Linked DNA regions of Cricetulus griseus. The protein of the gene in region 1 purifies or fractionates together with the protein of each later gene. This does not show direct contact. Links are inferred from orthologs where the notes say so. Each region holds a gene or a part of one and is shown in the gene's direction. Other genes may lie near its edges.

Region 1 (4,289 bases):
AACGAACGAACAGAGGCTACCATTTGTCTTAACCCAGCGTCCCCGAAAAGAAGACTGGAGAGAAAGAGGAGCGGTAAACACAAGCCCAGGGAAACAGAAGGGGAAGAAGGAGGTCAATGCAGTCGGATGAGCCATTCTGAGCTGGCCTGAGGGTCTTGCAGCTTCAGTCTGAGTCCTCTGTTTAGGCTGGGACAGGCACAGGGTCTTCTCGCTGTCAATCAGCTTCTCACTGGCAGCTCTTCGCCACAGGGAAGCAGTGACAGTGCGCATGCCTGAAATTTTTGTACATGTGTGCATGTAGCCTACCTACACCCTATGGTTGGCATACAACAATGGCAATGGTGTTATGAGTCTCTCACAGAACAAAAGTTCTGCCCAAGATCACAGACTGCTTTGCAGTCTGATCCAGATTCCTGAAAATGCCAAGTACTAATATAGTATTTGCATACCCTGAACATTAAATATATATGTATATGTATACATATTTAATGGAAGGAATTGGGGGAAATGGGAAGATACCTTATGGGCACATACACATTCCTTCTTCTGTTTCTTCTTTATTTGAAAAAGAATCTTTCTCCATAGCCCAGGCTGGTCTTGACCTCACTCACCATCCTCCTACTTCAGCCTGCAAAGTACTGAGATTTCAAGTGTCCACACACCTGACTCAAACTACTCTCTGCACCATTGACTCTCATCACTGTGGAGTATTACCAACATAGATGTTTATTACACTGTGCTTGAATAAATGAATGAATGACTGCCCTGTCAGAATATGAGATGTACTTTAACTTGGAGGCAGAGGTGGAGGAGGAATCCTTGCTTCCTTCCCATCCCACACTCTGTGGTTTCTTTGACTCTAAAAGTTGGCTAGATTGCAAATTTGCTCTAATGTTGGAAAACCAACCTGAGTCAGATTGCAGAGGTGGCTGACATCTGCAATCCCAGAGCTGGAGAAGCTGAGGCAGGAGGATTGCTTCGAGTTCAAGGATAGATGGGCTATTACCTCAAATGAAAAAAAGTAAAAAAAGTTTGAAAACCAAAAGGCTTTCGGATGAAAGCAAGGGATGGAACGCTCCTTAGCTGGCCCCTACCAGGGGAGCCCAAGAAACATGCATCAGTGCAAATTCCCGAAAAGCGGGTGTCGCCTCAGCACTGACTTGTGCCTGGAGTAATAGCAGTCAGTGTACCCTGATGTATTCTCTCCAATAAGAGCCTCGTTGTTTTCGGGTATGCACACATGAACACCAGCCGCTGCGGTTTTGATGCGTAGTTCCTTGCACTGATAAGCAAAAACTGCTGAAGTCATGAGGCTGCTCCAGACAGAGCCCTCGTGTGAGTCATACGAAAGCTCCACTCTGCTGACCTCTGGCAAAAAAGGGAGTGAAAGAGAACTGGAGAGGCGGATGGGGAGAGGTTCAAGTGCGGGTTTTCCACTTGAACCTGGACTATTATGGGTCAGGAGCTGTGTGCAAAGAGACAGCCAGGATGCAGTTGCTACCACCGTTCGGAGAGAGGGGAGGCGCACAGCTGTCAGAGAAGCCAGCCTGGGAGCACCGAGGCTGCTGCGTTCGAGGTATTTGGATCCCGGGAGGAGCATCTTTCTTTATTGGTAAACCAAGCAATTCAGGCAGACGCTCCCTTTTGTAGCAGTGTCTGATTCCTCTGCGGTAGGTCTAAACTCATAAAAAGAAAATTCTATTAAAGTCACAGAGGATTTATGGCCGTAGTTATCAAGTTTTGGGGTGTGCTTGTAAACCAGGAGAGGGGAATACTCTTTGGCTTTGGTCTCTTTTGACTTGAAATAGAGAAAGTGGTTCTCCTCTGGCCATCTCCGAGCCACTAAATGGCAGGGCTGAACTGTAGAGGGCAAGCTGCCATACTGGTAGGTCCGCTGTGGATTCTCGGGTTCAGTAATTATCTCATGATGATTAGCAGTGTCTTACTGGATCATTCTGGCATTCCATTAAGTACGTAGGAACGTGGGTGGGCATGGGGGAGACCGAGTTAAACAGAGAAATCGGAAAACATCCATCAAGGAGACTGGGTGAAATTGTGCAGGTGAAGGAGAAACTTGGCATTTCAGCGATAGGTATCATGGTGATCTCTAAGGCACCTGATTTCCAGGAGAGGTGCCTTCAGAGGGTGGAGGGAGCTTAGAAAAATAAAATAAAATAAGACAAGCAAACAGGCAAATAAAACAAAACAAGGGTTTTGCCAGCCACCAAATTGAGTTTGTACACGTACTTTCTTTTTCCTCTAGCTAACAGACATAAAAGGAGCAACGTGTTCCTTGTCTTCATTTCACCCCAGGGGACTCCAGGGCCCTGGTGACCAGAAGCTGGAGAGCAAAAGGCCCCGGAGTAACAGTGACTCTTTTCAGGAAGAGAATCTGAGGCAAGGGTTGCCATGGGTGAGTGAGCCATTGACAGGCATCAAGAAGAATGTCATGGGTGCTTGTCTAGGGAAGCTGGCCTCCACCTTCAGGGATGCCTGTGTGGGTCCCCCGCCCCCGTACACACAGGCTGTCTAATGCTCCTGGGGAAAAGACAAGTCAACATTATTTTTGAAGTGCTCTTTTTGTCTTGTCACCTCTCACCCTACCCCATAAGCAGAAGAAGAGCCTCCCTTTTGGGGCAGCCTCATCTTATTTGAACTTGGAGAAGCTGGGTGAAGGCTCTTATGCCACAGTTTACAAGGGGATTAGCAGGTGAGTGATTTGTCAGACCTTAGATGGGGGTGTCTCCTATTGCATTATAAATCCAACCAATGTATCACAGCCATTCACAGCCTTTGGGACTGTGACAGGACATCTGGGCCAACAGGAAGGAGATATGGTGATTTTAACAGCCTCGAAAACAAAAACAAACAAACAAACAAACAAAAAAACTCCATAACAACACAGATCTTCTTTAGCTAAAATCAACCACTAAAGAAGGTAGACTTCCTTCACCGTTGACCCAAAGAGCAATTACGACCTATAGAGAAACCAGTAAGGTGTCTCTAGAGTTTTTCTTATCCCTTCCTAAATCTCAAAGTGTGAAATTGTAGTGTGAAATGTTTTACTCTTTTGTCTTTTCGAGGGGACTACAACCCAGCACCCAAATAAATACATTCTTAGTTATGAGTGTCTGCCCTTAGCTTGGCTTGTTTCTTGCCAGCTTTTCTTAAGCTAGATTATCCCATCTATCTTTGGCCTCAGGGCTTTTATCTTTCTTTTTTTAAAAAAAAAGGCCTCAGGGCTTTTATCTTTCTTTTTTTTTTAAAGATAGATTTATTTATTTATTTATTTATTTATTTATTATGTATGCAGTGTTCTGCCTGCAGGTCAGAAGAGGGCACCAGATCTCATTATAGATGGTTGTGAGCCACCATGTTGTTGCTGGGAATTGAACTCAGGGCCTCTAGAAGAGCAGTCAGTGCTCTTAACCTCTGAGCCATCTCTCCAGCCCCTATCTTTCTTTATACCTGTATACCTTTTCTTTCCCTCTTATTCCATGTCTGGCTGTGTGGCTAGGTGGCTGGCCCCTGGTGTCCTCCGTTCTTTATTCTCTTGATCCTTCCCTTCCTCAGTTGTCCTTCTATTTATTCTCTCTGCCTGCCAGTCCTGCCTATCCTTGCTCCTGTCTTGATATTGGCTGTTCAGCTCTTTATTAGACCATTAGGTGTTTGAGACAGGCAAAGAATCACAGCTTCACAGAGTTAAACAAATGCAGCATAAACAAAAGTCGCACATCTTAAAATAAGATTCCTTAACATAAGATATGCAAAAAACTACATCCTGTATTTTCTGAATCTGTAAAATATACAAAATGGCTGGAAAAAGAGAATGCTTATTCAAAACCCTGGTACTGGTTCTAAGATGGAATTCTGATCTTTCTGGTTGCCTTCTAGTAAGTTATCCTTACTTTCTTACCAAAAGTTGGAAAAGTTTATCCTTTAATATATGGTACTCCAATAGAGAAAATAATGACTTAATGGTAGTCATGTTTTAAAAATACAAATATTATAAAACTAAGTATTTTTATTTGGAATTTGTATACCTGTTGCCATCTTTGTTAAAATAATATTATTAGGGAAATACAATCTGAAATGCATTGTGTAGAACCAGAATTTTATTCATGACCACAAATTATGCTAAGAACCAAAAAAATAAAGTATTTCCTTCAATGAACTCAGCTTAGTAATAGGATAAAAGTGCATTAGAAATGCTTTGACTTGAGCTCACAACCATATAAAAACCCAGGGGGAGCTAGCTACACATTCCTATAACCCCAGTACTGTGAGGA
Region 2 (3,651 bases), on another chromosome or scaffold:
TGGATCCGCAGGAACTAGAGTTACAGATAGTTATGAGCTTCCATAGAATGCTAGGAATTGAACCCCAGGGCCTTGACCAGAGCGGCCAGTGCTCTTCATCACTGAGCCACTCTCCAGCCTCAGTATTCATTTTCTTAACTATGCCTTTGATACAGTTTGACTTTCTGGTTTTTTTGCTTGTTTCCTGCACACTTAAAGAGAATTTCTGAAACTGTGTAGTCATTTCAAACACATTACATGATTGCGAATCAGTCTAGGGAACCGATAGTAAGTGGGGACCCTTTGCAGAAGTCTCTGGACTTCCTGTTTTGAAAACACATTCAGACTTGATCGACCAAAAGCCACAACAAATGTACTGATAGCTTCCTCCGAGCTAAAGACACCGCACTTGAGGAGGAAGGTGATCACCTAACAATAAACTTCAGAATTCCCTCCCCCGCCAAATCTGTCAGTCTAAAGATGTGCTTACCTTGTGCATGGGCAAGAACTCCTGTGCTCAGCAGATCTCTAGTGAGAAGTTGGTCTAAATTCTGTTTATTTTTGGAGGTTCTGGGGCTTGAACCTCAGGCTTTGTACCTACTGGGCAAGTACTCTGCCACTGTGAGCTACCCCTATCCCTCTCTTCACTGTTTCTTGTGAGATAGGCCACAGTGTATGCTTCTCCGGCCTCAGCCTTTTGAGTAGCTAGGCTTAGAATAGATACCCAACTTCCTAAAAACCCAGTTCCTTTAGAAACATCACCTTTACTCTAGAAAAACAAACAAAACAAAAAAAAAACAAAACCATGGGCCTCAGTTGTGCTCCCAAACCTCTGGTGTACATGTATTTTAAATTTTTAAAATAAAGTTAAGTCTTTTTTTAAAAAAATGGAAGCGGCTGCTGGCAGTGCTCACAGCTGTCCAGCTGGATGCCTCTCACACTACACTCAACCTGGTTTTTTCACGCTACCTGTGCACTGGGGGTGGGGTGGGGGAGGTATCTGCAAGTTAGCTATTATTTTATTTAGAACATTCCAGAAGTGGTCATCATAGATATTAACAAGTGTGGGAAATAAAACAAGAGGCTCTATGCACACCCTGAGATCCAGGCTGCAGCCCTTGCTTTGAAGGAACTGACTCAGGATTTGGGTTGACAGCCGAGGGAGCAACCAGCGTGGTGTTCGTCCTGGAGGTTGTCCTGACTCTGCTGACTGAGGCCCTGCTGTTGATAGTCAGAGTCCCTCTGACTTATCAGGCCTAGGCTAAAGGTGCTGGATCAAATGGTTAACCACAGGAATTAGCATTAAAGGTGGCTTCTAGCTGAAACAGAATCATAGACCTTCAGGCCTTTTAGGAGACTGCTGAGATCAGATAAGGGTGGTGGAGGGAGTTGGAATTGGGTCTGTGTTTGGAATTTGACAGCTGTCATAGGACACATAGTTAATGTGTAAGAGAGGGTGGATTCTCAAGACTCTGTAAAGCAAGTTACGTAGTTACTTACCCCACATCAGTTAAGCAGCCTAAGAACTTTCCAGATTATCAAAGAGGAATCGTGGTGACTGTTGCACTGGCTCACAAGCCATTTTTCTTAGTGAGTAAAAGACCTTCGAGAAAGGCATATGGAACATGGGCATTAAAGGTAGTTGGGCTGGGGTGTAGCTCTGTGGTTGGTTGTTGCACAAGTCCCTGGGGTCAGTCCTCACCGCCATACAAAGTAATTGGAACAAGATGTGGTGCCGGCCTGTAATAATATAATAAGAAAGCACTTGGAATGCAGAGGCAGGAAAATAAGAGTTCCAGGCCAGCCTGAGATATATAAAAAGACTGCCTCAAAAAAAAAAAAAAAAAGAAAGAAAGAAAGAAAGAAAGAAAAGAAAATCTAACATGAATGTATCATTGGAGAAATGACATTCCAGGCTTGGCATTATTATTGGTTTATTTATTTCACCCAAGCATCTGAACCCAAGATACTGTTACAAATGGTTAAGCCATCGTTGTATATTGTCAGGACTAGATGCGTGGCATTCTCCTTATTGTGTGTTTAAATAAGCCAGTATATCCTGACCTTGTGTCACAGGTAAGAAAACTAGTATTCATTTAACCTAAAACAGAAAAATATTCTTGTTCTTAAACTTTCACACTGGGTGGGCAAAGCTTCTAGAAGACACTGTGTGTGTCTTGTGGACAGAGCTGCACTGTTGGCCGCTCACTTGACAGGCAGTGCTGAGGGGTGGCTTGTGACTGTTCTGTCTCCTCACCCTCAGTCCACCTGGAAGGCTGCTGTGGTGGAAGGATGTTTGATTGCAGAGATGTGGTGTTCATTGTTGGTGAAGGAGAAGACCACGACATTCCCATTGGAATTGACAAAGCCCTGGAGAAAATGCAGAGGGAAGAGCAGTGTGTTTTATATCTTGGACCACGGTAAGAAGCGCCCGTTTCCGTATGCAGTGTAGCTGTCTGAAGACCTACTCTCTCACTCGGTGCTTTTGCTATCACAGTGAGGTCATTGCATTGAGTCAGGTGGTAGTCGGGAAGTTTGTGAGCGGTTGGCTCAGCTCAAGTATGTTTAAGAATAGGGCAAATAAGCCTTGTTTTTGATTTGTTCCTATGCCATGGTGCCACATCAGCAAAGATTGGCTGGTCCTCTTTTCTGTCCTCTGAGTTCAGCAGGAGAGTGCTGAGAGCTGAAGTAGGGCATGATTTACTACCCCTTGAATGCATGCCACATTCTTATATGGAGTCCCCGAAGGAAGAAAAAACCAGCTTGTTCTTCCTGGATCTAAAGACAGCGGAGATGACTCATTTTTGCCTAAATCTTTCCCGTCATAAGGATAGCCATTAGCACTTCCAAGCTTAGAACTATCCGGCACTGACAGTCTCTTGTGAAAACATGTTTTGTATTATTTTTGGTCTAAAATTGTACCATAAATTCAACTCTTCTATCTTGAGAAATGGGCCCTGAGAGAATCCAGGGATGCCTGCATGCAAGAGCATCTCCTTGGCCAGAGTGGCCTCACGGGCTCACAGATTGCAACTGGCAGATCTGAGTTCTGAGACTCTTCGGCCTGCCCTCACCCCTCAGGGGTCCCTGACAAAACGCCAGTGCTTGTCTATAATCCTGTTCCTCAGTAGTTTTAGCCATGCCCACACTTCCTTGAAAGTTCTTCTAGAATGCTCTGTCCTGATCCTAAAGCCATTACGAGGCCCCTTTGTCTGCTGCCTTTCTCTCAACCCTGTTCAGTGCTGCAGTCCTGCTTCAGGGTTTCAGTTTGCAATGGGCTGTAGTTCACTCTACCCTACTTTTTGACTGAAAACTTTTTTTCTCTTTGCAGACTTGCAGAGCAGGTACTTCATAGCCTACAGTCTCCAATCTTTTTTTTTTTTTTTTTTTTTGAGATATCTTCTCACTTTGTAGCTCTGGTTGCCCCAAAACTCAACTGTGTAGACCAGGCTGACCTCAAACTCTGCCTGCCTCTGGCTCCCATGTGCTGGGATTAAAGTTTACTAATCACTTCTAATCTAACATTCCAAAATTACAGGAGCTCCACACTCAGGTGGCGGCTGTCTCAGATATGCTTTCACAGTTGAGCCCTTAAGGATAAGTTCTGTAAAGTGTAACCATTCAGGGACACATGACCCAGATCTGTAAGTCTTAACCCAGCTGGTAAGATAG

Evidence for each region. The genes of interacting proteins can lie anywhere in the genome.
Region 2: the proteins of Cdk15 (region 1) and Fkbp5 purify together in Homo sapiens (affinity purification with mass spectrometry; 3 studies listed by BioGRID and IntAct, counting the BioPlex papers as one, with this or other methods). This does not show direct contact. The link is inferred for Cricetulus griseus from reciprocal best matches to the Homo sapiens genes CDK15 and FKBP5.

The regions. Positions count from the first base shown.
Region 1 is NC_048595.1:413,523,956-413,528,244, forward strand, and holds the start of Cdk15 (cyclin-dependent kinase 15), read left to right. Parts: upstream 1-1,351; 5' UTR 1,352-1,453; coding exon 1,454-1,576; intron 1,577-2,263; coding exon 2,264-2,413; intron 2,414-2,612; coding exon 2,613-2,710; intron 2,711-4,289. UniProt on the Homo sapiens protein: Serine/threonine-protein kinase that acts like an antiapoptotic protein that counters TRAIL/TNFSF10-induced apoptosis by inducing phosphorylation of BIRC5 at 'Thr-34'.
Region 2 is NW_023276806.1:233,539,770-233,543,420, reverse strand, and holds part of Fkbp5 (peptidyl-prolyl cis-trans isomerase FKBP5), read left to right. Parts: intron 1-2,242; coding exon 2,243-2,399; intron 2,400-3,651. UniProt on the Homo sapiens protein: Immunophilin protein with PPIase and co-chaperone activities. Component of unligated steroid receptors heterocomplexes through interaction with heat-shock protein 90 (HSP90).